Linked DNA regions of Macaca fascicularis. The protein of the gene in region 1 purifies or fractionates together with the protein of each later gene. This does not show direct contact. Links are inferred from orthologs where the notes say so. Each region holds a gene or a part of one and is shown in the gene's direction. Other genes may lie near its edges. The genes, in order: CSNK1A1L, FAM83D and FAM83H.

The links.
Region 2: the proteins of CSNK1A1L (region 1) and FAM83D purify together in Homo sapiens (affinity purification with mass spectrometry; 3 studies listed by BioGRID and IntAct, with this or other methods). This does not show direct contact. The link is inferred for Macaca fascicularis from reciprocal best matches to the Homo sapiens genes CSNK1A1L and FAM83D.
Region 3: the proteins of CSNK1A1L (region 1) and FAM83H purify together in Homo sapiens (affinity purification with mass spectrometry; 3 studies listed by BioGRID and IntAct, with this or other methods). This does not show direct contact. The link is inferred for Macaca fascicularis from reciprocal best matches to the Homo sapiens genes CSNK1A1L and FAM83H.

Annotation. Positions count from the first base shown.
Region 1 is NC_088391.1:16,650,983-16,655,269, reverse strand, and holds CSNK1A1L (casein kinase I), read left to right. Parts: upstream 1-1,436; 5' UTR 1,437-1,846; coding exon 1,847-2,860; 3' UTR 2,861-3,840; downstream 3,841-4,287. UniProt on the Homo sapiens protein: Casein kinases are operationally defined by their preferential utilization of acidic proteins such as caseins as substrates. It can phosphorylate a large number of proteins. Participates in Wnt signaling.
Region 2 is NC_088384.1:95,066,200-95,069,804, forward strand, and holds part of FAM83D (protein FAM83D), read left to right. Parts: intron 1-3,024; coding exon 3,025-3,192; intron 3,193-3,605.
Region 3 is NC_088382.1:153,390,928-153,395,199, reverse strand, and holds the start of FAM83H (protein FAM83H), read left to right. Parts: upstream 1-1,423; 5' UTR 1,424-1,505; intron 1,506-2,230; exon of another isoform or gene 2,231-2,358; intron 2,359-3,719; exon of another isoform or gene 3,720-3,844; intron 3,845-4,272. UniProt on the Homo sapiens protein: May play a major role in the structural organization and calcification of developing enamel. May play a role in keratin cytoskeleton disassembly by recruiting CSNK1A1 to keratin filaments. Thereby, it may regulate epithelial cell migration.

The DNA of each region.
Region 1 (4,287 bases):
CAGACTTCAGTTTCAAATTGGCCTCCAACACTTACCTGTAGTGTGGTCTTGGGCAATTCATCTAACCTCTCTATGCCTTAATTTCCACTTGTATAAAATGAGAAGTACAATCACAATAATAAAATATGCCAGCAGTATACTGTATTACTATCCACCTGTGGGAGGAGTATGTATTTTCACCCCACTGTCTTTGGACCTGGCCATGTGATGTGTTTCGCCCAGTGGAATGTGACATTTGCCACTCCTTTTATTATGAGAACAGCATGCTCCTAAGGAGGCTGCTCTTTCAGCCCGCATTCTAGAACAAAGAGGACACAGGAAGCAGAGATGCAGCTGATCTACAGCTTACATAAAACCTGAATGATAAATAAACTTTGTCATTGTAAGTCACTGAGATTTGCGAGTTGTTCCTGCTGCAAAGCCAAGTAATACACTGTGCCACCCACCTCACATATTTGTCTTAAGCGAACTTTAAAAATGTTTTAAAGCACTCTATAATGTTCTGTGCCCGTCTATGTCTCAAAGCAGCTCCTTCTCTCGCCATAGATTGATGCAGGTCAGAAAAGTTAGAAACAGCACTAATTTATGTGAGACAGTAAAGTGGGAATACCTACTTTCAAAGCTGCACCTCCCTCTCCTGCCCTTCTGCCATTGGTCCCCAAATTCGTTGCTACTGCCCCGTTAGGATTATACTCAGTTCCTATCCCATATCCTCATAAAACAAAATAATCGCACAGGTTTTGTTATTTGTGATGTGAACTGTCATAAAAATATTGAAATGGTACCGCTTTTTCTGCTAGTGTTGGCCCCAATTCTTTCGAGAAAATGCTCAGAACTGCCGGCGTCTGTTTCTTCTCTCTATTTTGGTTAAATTTTACTTGAATCCTTCATTTAGTCAGTTTTGCCAGAACTTCTCTGTGGAATCTTATTTAAATTCAAAGCACTCTATGAAAAAATTTCAAAAAGATCGCTTAAAAAACACACACACACACATTTCAATTTAACTAGCAGTAAGTAACTCTTGTTGACTAAACTCAATAAACAAGCAACCACTGAGACTGCAGAGAAAAAGCCCAAGGGGTGGCACCCCAACTGGCATTAACCCAGGGAGACATGATGGCTAGGGAAGTAGGTGGGACAATGACTGGGCCCGAAAACAAGAATATCTTTGTTATAAAAGCCTCCCATTTCTGCACAATTAAGTTGAAAGGAGGTGAGCTTCGAGTTACATAAGCCTAGGCAGTTTTGAATTCCAGCTGGCCCACAATCTCTTGCAACCTTAGGCCGCTTACCTGAGACTTAGCCTTTCTTACCCAACGAATCAGGGAAAATAACAGCTATCTTACAAGACTAGCAAGTTCGTGTTAAATGGAACAAGATGAGTGGAACACCTAACAGAGGACTCAAACATTAATAGTGTCTCCAAAAATTCTCGATTTGTGGTTGGCTGAGGCGGAGGAACAAGATGGCGGCGCCAGCGGCGTGACCGGGCCCTCGGGCCCACAGCCGTTGGCAGCGGTGGCAGCGGTATCGCTGCCGCAACTCGCTGTGCCCCCTTTCTCAGCCCGCGACGTCGCCGCGACAGCGAGGCAGCGACCGCCACCCAGAAAGAGGTGGTGGCCCAGCCTGGCAACCTTGAGAAGCCCTCGAAAACTGTGGCCTGGCGGAAACCCTGGTGTGCTCTGGGGATCAGGCTGACTCCAGGCCCTGTAACACCGGGAGAGGCCTCGGTGGCCATTTCCAGCAGCCCTCACCCTCAGCCTTGTGGGGCTGGCGGGCCCCGGAGGCCTCCATCCTCCCCTAGAGGGGTCAGGGCAGAGCCCAGCCTCCATCTTTGCCTCTCAGGATGGCAAACAACAGCGGCTCCAAGGCCGAACTCGTTGTGGGAGGGAAATACAAACTGGTGCGGAAGATCGGGTCTGGCTCCTTCGGAGACGTTTATCTGGGGATCACCACCACCAACGGCGAGGAAGTAGCAGTGAAGCTGGAATCTCAGAAGGCCAAGCACCCCCAGTTGTTATATGAGAGCAAACTCTACACGATTCTTCAAGGTGGGGTTGGCATCCCCCACATGCACTGGTATGGTCAGGAAAAAGACAGCAATGTGCTAGTCATGGACCTTCTGGGACCCAGCCTCGAAGACCTCTTTAATTTCTGTTCAAGAAGGTTCACCATGAAAACTGTACTTATGTTAGCCGACCAGATGATCAGCAGAATTGAATACGTGCATACAAAGAATTTTCTACACCGAGACATTAAACCAGATAACTTCCTGATGGGTACTGGGCGCCACTGTAACAAGTTGTTCCTTATTGATTTTGGTTTGGCCAAAAAGTACAGAGACAACAGGACCAGGCAACACATACCGTACAGAGAAGATAAACACCTCATTGGCACTGTCCGATATGCCAGCATCAATGCACATCTTGGTATTGAGCAGAGCCGCCGAGATGACATGGAATCCTTAGGCTACGTTTTCATGTATTTTAATAGAACCAGCCTGCCGTGGCAAGGACTAAAGGCTATAACAAAAAAACAAAAATATGAAAAAATTAGTGAGAAGAAGATGTCCACCCCTGTTGAAGTTTTATGTAAGGGGTTTCCTGCAGAATTCGCCATGTACTTGAACTACTGTCGTGGGCTGCGCTTTGAGGAAGTCCCAGATTACATGTATCTGAGGCAGCTATTCCGCATTCTTTTCAGGACCCTGAACCACCAATATGACTACACATTTGATTGGACGATGTTAAAGCAGAAAGCAGCACAGCAGGCAGCCTCTTCCAGTGGGCAGGGTCAGCAGGCCCAAACCCAGACAGGCAAGCAAACTGAAAAAAACAAGAATAATGTGAAAGAAAACTAAGCATGAATGAGGAACAGAAGAAGCAGAGCAGATGATTCGAGCAGCATTTGTTTCTCCCCACATCTAGAAATTGTAGTTCATATGCACACTAGCTAGTGGCTGTGGACAACCATTTACTTGGTGTAAAAAACTTTATTTCAATATAAACTGACTCTGGGGAGCGTGGGTGATGCTGTATCCCAAGGTGTGTAGCCGCTGTAATTGTGAATATTAACTGAGGTAGTGAAACATGGTGTCTGGTTTTCTATTGCATTTATTCAAGTAGAAAAATTAACTAAATGGTTGACACACACGAATTGGTGGAGACATTGTCCATATGCCAATTTTTTTGTTAAAACCTTTTATTTTGAACTAGACTGCTTTGATATCTCATTTCAGAAGAACAGTCTTCAGCCACAGCTGTGAAGGTTGTAAATGCTTACCATTGAGCATTTTTAGGGTTTCTCCATCCCTGGGGTCTGCAAATTGTTCACACAAAAAGCATTCTTAAAATGGTTGGCTTCTTGTTTGCAAGCCAGCTGATCTGGTAGCAAACAAAAATTCCAGTTTTGAGAATAGGAAAGATACTGCCTGCTTACCTGCAAAGACATAAGAAAATCTTAGTAACTACCAGATAATCTTTAGAATTCCACACTAACTTTATCATGTTTTCGGTATTATAAAAACGACAACAACAACCATATTTGTCACAGAAATTTAGTTAACATCTTACAACTGAACATGTATGTGCATTGTTTAGATAAATGTAATCACTGTAAACACCTATGTGATCTGGGATTTTGTTCATATTTTGAAATGGGAGCTTTTATGTTTTACAAGTTCACTTAAAACCGTTTCTGTAAGAAAATGATACTTTTTTAAACAACAACCAAAAAATGCCTTGCTGATTCACTAGGAAATAAAAATCTCCCCAATTTTTTGATAGTCAACTTAAAGTCATTTGTTACATGATATTCCTTTGCAAGTAAATTTTATTTCATGACATAACTTTTTTCAATGTTTTTATTCTAAAATAATTGTTTTGTATGAAGAGAAATGTATTCTTTCATTTTTCTTTTTCTAATGACTTGTGGTACAGTATCTAGTACTGCAACTGTCAGAACTTGGTATTGTTACTTCTTCCACTGACTAATAGCTGGGCTGATTTCAAAAAAGAATGCAAGCATTGAAGGGTTTGACTATAAAACATTGTTGTTTAAAATACTTGTGAAATGGCTATAAACAGTTGACTTTTACCCTTGGAGAGCACACTGTGTGAGGTTCTGTGATCATTGACCCTCCCTAACCCCCATCTGTTTCTCTGAATTATGTGTGTGTGTATGCGCTTCCTCTCAATCTCTTTGCACCTTCTTTTTTTTTCTCTGACGCAAGATAAAGGAAAACTCATTTTCCTTTTAATTCTTTAAATAGTGTAATTTATTCACTTA
Region 2 (3,605 bases), on another chromosome or scaffold:
CACTTTGAACTCATTACTCTTATACAGGCAATGTGGAGAAGTTTGAAACTGATTCCTCAGTTGGCATTCAGGGCCTTCTGTGATCTTGCTCATTCATCCATCTTTTCCAGTCATGTCCCGTGACTCCCTTTTATACATGCTGTACGTTCCAGCTAGACTGGTACATACCCCGTCATTCCCTACCTCTTCCTTTGTCATCATATGGCTTCCCGTGGGAATGCCTTCTCCTCCCTTCACTTCTCCCATGCCCTTGTCCAAGTGTCCTTGTGATTCAGCTCAAATGCCATCTCCTCCAGGAAGCCTTCCCTGCTCTTATCTGGTAAGCATTTGAGTACCTATAGTGCCTATAGTCCACCACTGGAGGAGACACCTTGTTTTTGTTTTGTTTTGTTTTGTTTTGTTTTTTGAGATGGAGTCTTGCTCTGTTGCCCAGGCTGCAGTGCAATGGTGCGATCTCGGCTCACTGCAACCTTCACTTCCTGGGTTCAAGTAATTCTTGTACCTCAGCCTTCCTAGTAGCTGGGATGACAGGTGCATGACACCATGCTCAGCTAACTTTTTGTATTTTTAGTAGAGACAGGGTTTTACCATGTTGGCCAGGATGGTCTCAAACTCCTGACCTCAGGTAATCCACCCACCTTGGTCTCCCGAAGCACTGGGATTATAGACATGAGCCACCATGCCCAGCCCCCTTAGTTTAATTGCTTAGGCTATATATATCATTTTGCCTCTCTGCATCCTGTGTCCTCTCCTTGAGGTAAGTTGGGTCTATGTCAAATTCCTCATAGCCATCTTTCTGCCTAGTGCAGTGTGCAGCCCATGGTGGGCTCTGAGGAGGTCTTGGCTGCATAATAGCACCCGTTTCCTGCCTTGCCCTCCTGTGCTAAGCCCTTTCCATGCTTTATTTCACTTAATCCTCACAGCAGCCCTTTGACCCAGATGCTATTAATTGTATCCTCCTGAGGAGGAAACTGAGGCTCAAGAGATTAAGCCACTTGCCCAAGGTCACAGAGCTGGTAGGTGGTAGAGCTGGGTTCTATGCCCAGACCTTTTGTCTTTAATCCCTGCTGTATGACCCGAATGAGTAGGATGAATAGGACTGTCAAAATAGGATGTGTAAAGCCAGTGGAGGATATAAACTTCCGAGGATGCCATGAGTTCAGAAAGAACGTTTCTCGTTTTTTAAATCACTGTGTTCAGTGGGTTTCAGCCTTGCTCTTTACCAAGAGTAGCCCACAGCTTACAGCATCATTAAAAGGGGTGGGGAGGGAAAGGCAGCAGGAGAGTAACTGGTCTTCTCGACTCCCTCACAGCAGTGACTTCCCAGGAACTGGCATTTCAAGGTCTCACATCCTAGTAGACCACGCCCTGGAGTGTTGGAGAAAGATATCCAAATTGCCTTTTTGTCTCTTTATTCCTTCTTTAGTTCCCCAAATCCTTAAGGAGTAATGACTGTCATGTACTGTCCTGAGTCCTCTGGGACCACAGAAATGAATCAATCCCATTCAAGAGCCTTTGCTGCAGTAGAAGGAGTGAAACCCATAAATGAATAATCCTAACTTTCAGAAAAAGAGTTAATGTGATTCTGAGAGACAGGCTTTTACTGTTGAAATGGGGAGGAAGGAGAAACCCATATAGCTCCAGACTACAGAAGAGCTCCCAAGCCTTGGTTTCCTTAGATAACACCCCCGGCTTCTGACTCAGTTTGTCAGGACCTGTTTCTAAGCCTGGATGTTTGGACACCCCCACTGCCTTGCCAGGAGTTTGCTGAGGACCTTGGTTTTAAGCCTGCAAAGGGTGTGATTAGAGGCATTGTGGCTGGAGCAGCCTGTCTTTAAAAGAGCGAGGAAAGCTGAGCAGTGTCTCCCTGTGTTGAACTGTCTGGACAGCTCCAGCTCGGGACTGGTAAAGTGAATAAATGAGCAGATACTAAGGGTTCCTTTGTACCTTGTACTTTATGTAACATAGTCATTTAATTCTCGATACAAGCCTATTTTGCAGCTAAGGAAACAGACATTTGAAACAGCTGTAATTTGCCCAAGAATGCGTGGCTAAAAGGTGGCTCTTAATTGTAGTCTGATGCTAGATGTGGAAAATCACTTGGGAGGCATGAATGGAGCCACGTTGTTGGGGAGTAGAAAGGCCTACTCTGAGCTTAAGGGCAGAATCCTTAGGAAATATTTCCCTGTTCTTTGCTATGGGCTTGCACTGTGGACAATACCAAAGAACTGCAGAGAGAGCCTTTTACTGAGGAGAGGCCGGTGTGGTGGAAGCCATTTGGTTAGAACCTGCCCAACAGACAGCTGATCAGGCCTGGCTGGTGGAAAGAACAGAATGTTAACAAATGTGGTATGCAGTAGGAGGGAAGCAGAAGATGGGAGAATCCATGGGCCTGCTTTGGTTGCTTTCAAGTCATGAGTTGATGGTGAATGGGGCAGGCCTTAAAAAAGTCAGAGATTAAGATTTAAAACCAGACAATAATTTAAAAAGTAGATTTCGAGAATGCTACCCCCAAGAAGGGCCCTCAGAATCTAAGGTTTTATTTACTTGTTTAACGGACAGCAAACTGAATCCTGGTGGGGAAATCTACAAGCCAAAGATAACAGTGTGTTACCCACAGAACCAGACAGCTTGCTGATCTGAATTAAGCCTGTAAGACAGGGGTTTAGTGGAGGAATAGAAGGTGAATGGAGCAGGTTCATAAGAGAGCAAGGCAGTGGATTGATGTGTATTTTTGAGAAACCTGCCAGCATGAACAGTTTAGTTGGGAGTGTTAGCTCCTAGTGACAGCATGGAGTGTTAGCTAGGCCAAGTCAAGATTTGTAGGATACGGGGCCCAGGTGTCTTTGGAGGTGCAAAAGAGTCTATGGTGAGGGGAGCACCAATACTGCAGAAGCAGGAGGGAAGGATAACTGTTGGATAGGGATCATTTCCCAGTTCTGAGTGGAGTCCAGAGTCCAGACAGCATGCTATAAGGTGGTGTCCTATAAGCTGACCATGTGCTCTTCCCCGTTTCACCTGTAGGTGATTGCAGTGGTAATGGATGTGTTCACAGACATCGACATCTTCAGAGACCTTCAAGAAATATGCAGGAAACAGGGAGTCGCTGTGTATATCCTTCTGGACCAGGCTCTCCTCTCTCAGTTTTTGGATATGTGCATGGATCTGAAAGTTCATCCTGAACAGGAAAAGGTTTGTGGTACACTATATCCAGTTTCACCACAGTCAACGAATGTGACTAAGCATCCATGATCTACAAGGTCGTTGGTGGCAGTATCCCTGTTTACAAGGAAGGGACTGAGGATGTGAGCAAAGTCATTTGCCTGGTCTTACAGAAAATGGACAGTACCCGTGACCTGGCAATTCTCCTAGGAGATGAAAATATAGGCCCCCACAAAAATTTGTGTATGAGTTTTATAGAAGCATTATTCATAAAGTCAAAGAGTGGAAACAATCCAATGCCCATCAACTGATAAATGGTTAAATGATATGTTGTCTATTTATACAATAGCGTACTATTCAACCATAAAAAGGAATGAAGTGCTGATACATGCTACAGCATGGATGAACCTGCAAACATGCTAAGTGAAGGAAGCCAGTCGCAA
Region 3 (4,272 bases), on another chromosome or scaffold:
GTTTCCAGCATACTGGTACCAGTGGGGTGTCACTGAGTGTCTGGGGAAAGAACAAATGAAACTGGGAGTGACCCTGAAAACAGAAAATAGGATCACATGGCAAGAGGGACAAACAGAAAGGTGACTGATACCATCAGAAAGCGTTCAGGCAGGGCCAGTCCTTGGGGTGGGAGTGGCAGGGGTGAAGGGTGGTGGTTTGGACAGGTAATCCAGTGCAGGGCAGGGCCTAAGTGGGGGGAGAGGCCCTAAGTGAGGGCCTGAGGGGGATTTGGGGGTACTGGAGCACCCAGGGGCAGCTCGGGGTAGTGTGTGGGGTTGCTGTGTTCATGCGGGGGCGTCTGGTATGTGAGGCTTGGTGTGCACACTGGGTCCCTTGTCCGTGTTGGGGCTTGGTTTTCGCGGGGTCCCCGAGTGTACACCCAGGGTTCTATATGTGTGAGGGAGGTCCCCTGGTCTCTCAGAGTCAGTGTGAATATGGCATCCCTGTTTGTGTGTGGGATCGGTGTCTGAGGGATCTCACATGCAGGTGGGGTTCCCTACGTGTGCGGACGTCAGCGTGTTTGTGGGTGACTGAAGTGGACAGGACTGGGTGTTCTTGTTGGGTTCTGTCTTCCTGAGGAGTCTCCTGTGCTTGGGGGGTTGGTGCACACGAGGGACAGGTCATTCGGGGTCCGCATGTGCATTGGGGGTCACTGCAGCAGAGTCCCCTACAAGTGTGGGCATGGATGTGAAGGGATGAGGGAGAAAGATGGGGAACCCCAGGTACTTGTGGGCATCAGTGTGTGTGTGTGGTGGGGGTCGGGGCCTGGGGGTCCTCTGTTGGGCGGGATCCCCTCTACGTGTGGGACGCTGGTGCGGTGGGAGACCGGTGTGTGGTGAATGGATCCCCTGTGCTTTCGGGGCTCCCAGACCCGGCCCCGCCCGGGGCTCGACGCCGCCCCAGCGCCCTCACCTGCCGCACCTGCCTTCACCAACTCGGCGAGGAGGTCAGAGCTCCGCCCCTTGCGTCGGGCTGGCTTGTTTCCTAGCGACTGAGCCGGAACTTCCGAGTCACCCCAACTTCCGGGGCGAGGGTCAGGGGTCAGGCTAGGAACTTTGAGCCTGGGGTCAACAGTTGGGCTCCTGGGGGTCGAGGCCTTTGAAGTGGGGGCCTCACGGTCTCCGGCGGCGCTGGGCCGGGGTTTCTGGGCACGTGGCCGCAGGGCACGGGCGGGTCGGGGCGGAGGGTCGGGGCGCGGGCTGGGGGCGCGGTCCGGGGCGGGCGGCGGGGCCGCGGCGGGCGCGGGGCGCAGGAATGCGGGCGCGCCGCGGGTGGGGCCGCTCCGCCCCCAGGTGCTGCCCGGGCAGGCAGGAGGCAGGAGCGACGGGCGGGGCGGGGGCGGGCGCGTGAATCAGGCCGGGCGGGCCGCGGCAGGGAGTGGCTGCCGGACCGACCGGACCGCGAGGCCGCTGGGCGGCGGTCGGCTCCTGCTGCCCCCGTGCCGAGACCCCGCGCACCTGGCCAGGTAGGGCCCCCCTCCCCCGGCCCGGGCGGGGCGAGGCGGGGGCGGGCGCCCCTCGGTGCGGTCCCACCTGGGCTACCCTCGCGCCCGCACCTGGGCCGGGGCCGCGCGACCCAGAGAGGGGCGGTGGGAGTGGAGCGCGGCCGCGTGCGCGGGGCCGGGGCGGCGGGTCAGCTCGGACAGGGGGCGCCGCTGTGCGGATATGGACGCGAGCGCCCTCGCACGACGGCAGCCCGAGAAGAGCCGAGTGGGAAGCGGCCCGGGATCTGGGTCGAGCCTGCCTGGCCGTCCCGACTCGCTGCTGCCCTCGCGGCCTAGCTGGAGTCTGGGTGCTAGGCACGGCCTGGACCCTTCCCTGGGGACGCCCGCCCGGGCCACCGTGGACTGGGGTGGCCAGGGTGCGGCCTGGATCCCCGCCTGGCAAGCAGGGCGAGTGACGGGAGGGCTGCCCGTAGCGCCCATGTTCCAGGGCTGGGGTGGGTGGATGGGGCACCCAGCCGCCGCAGCCGCGAGCTCGCAGGGTGCACTGACCCCGTTGGGGGCTGGGGTGCCCACCCCGCAAGCTACCACTGAGCGACTTCCGGTCTGTGAGCCCTGTCCTCCGCACCCCACCTTTCCGCCTCCTAGAGCCTCCGCGCCCTCCTGGGCCCATCGGAACTTGGCACAGGCTCACCCCACTTTGTGTAGGAACTCCGGATCCTTCCATGGGGTCCTCCTTCCAGATACTCAGGAACCCCACTTCCTGCCAGGGTGGAGAGGATGGGGTCCTTGAAGGCCAGCTGAGGGCCCTGACTTCGAGTCAGAGGTCAGGGGTCAGCAGCAGAAGAGTGGATTCGTGCTGAGTCATTGGCCATGGGTGGGTTCCGTGCCCTACCTCCCTTGGGCAAGCGTTTGGTAGGCAAATGTGTGGGCATGCAGGCCACTGGGGTGCTCCATCTCAGGCTTGGGAGTGTCTGCGGCCCCGTCCATAGCCCAGCAGACACGTACCCATGAAAGGACACGATGTGAGGAATGAAGCCATTGGAGGTCTGGGCATCACCCTGTGATGATGAGGGGTGTCTGCTGGGAGGGCTCCTGGCAACGGGGGATTCCACAGTCCAGATGATCCCTGCCCCCATTACACACAGCCTGGAGCCTGGATGCTGTGTGGATATCCCTCCCCTGTGAAATCCTAAGGGACAGTGGGGGTCCTTTCTAGAGTGTCCCCCAGCGTCGGGAAGTGCCCTCAAACAAGGTTAGCAGGGTTGTTCCCCCTGCCCTATATGGTCAGACACCGCCCCTACAGCCAGGCTGGCAGTGGTGAGTGGGCGCCCCGGCCCAGCCAGACAGGCCTACACCTCACCCCCATGTGGTTGGCCTCGATCTGCCCTAACGAGCCCCATATGTCAACCATGAGGACAATGCCCCAACAAAGAAATGTTGGGACAGCTTCTCCCAGGCCAGTTGGCATCTGGGGCTGTTGAGTGGCACCAGGTATTTCCCATGTCCCAACTCCATGTCACCCCCGGGGGTACCAGGCAGGACGGCGGCCTCCTGACCCCAACATTCTCAGCCTAGTGGCTCCGGTTAGCACCCGTGCAGTCCAGCTGGCCAGCGCCCATCCTGTCAGTGCCCCAGGGCACACTCCTCTGTCTGGGCTGAACCACCTTCCCAGCCAGGGCCAACATTCGGGAACCTGTGTGCTAGGCGGGGATAGGTGTCCTGCCTCCCTCCCCAACCCGAGGAGCAGTGGGATGGGCTGAACGGTCCCTAGGGCTCTCCTTCCAGGGAGAGGTACCCAGGTAGCTCGGTGACCCCAGGCGTGGGCCCTGGGTGCGCCCCATCTGACCTTTCTGGAGAGGCCAGGCACCCTGCAGGGACCCTTTGGAGAACAGATTGGGCTGTGGGGCAGCCAAGTATGGATGATGGTGGGGAGCCCAGGACCTGGAAAGGTCCCTGCTGCCCTGGACGGGGGGCTGGTGGCAACAGGACTCTGAGCAAGTGGAGAGCCAGATCTGGGCGATGTGGAGTGCAGGCCCTGCAGGGCCCTGTGGGCACCAAGGGGTTGTGGTCCAGGGAGGTTTTATCTGAGAAGGACAGTGACAAGAAAGGTCAAGGGAAGGAGGGGGACTGGTAGACAGAGACAGAGTCTAGGGGTCAGTGTTGCAGGGCTGGGCAGTCATAGAATGGGCTGTGGGAACCCAATTGTGAAACCCTGGGGATGGGGAGGAGGTGTCGCCCAGGGCTATGCGTAGGGCTTAGGGTTGCCATTCCAGGAGGAGGGTGGTCACAGCCCTGTTTGCTGCGCTCACCTTGGCTAGGCACGGTGTCTTGTGGACCCTCAGCTGTGTTGTGCAGTAGAGGTAGGCCAGAGAGGTGCAGTGACCTACCCACGGTTTCCCAGGCAGTCAGGGACAGACACATGCCAGCATGGGTGGCACCAGCTTATCCAGTAGGCACAGTGCCAGGGGCCTGTGAATGTCTTAAGAAAAAAGTGAATACTATAATGATGAATACAGCCTGGATTATGTTTGTCTTTAAGCCAATACTCATAAAATGTTTTGGGGGGCGGTTGGTTTTATTTTCATTTTTTGTAGCGATGCAGTCTCTATCACCCAGGCAGGAGTGCAGTGTCACAATCATAACTCATAGCAGCCTCCAACTCCTGGGCTCAAACAACCCTTGTCTCAGCTTCCCAAGTGGCTGGGACTGCATGCGCACGCCACCATGCCTGCCTGATGTTTAAAATTTTTTGTAGAGATGGGGTCTTGCTGTGTTGCTCAGGCTGGTT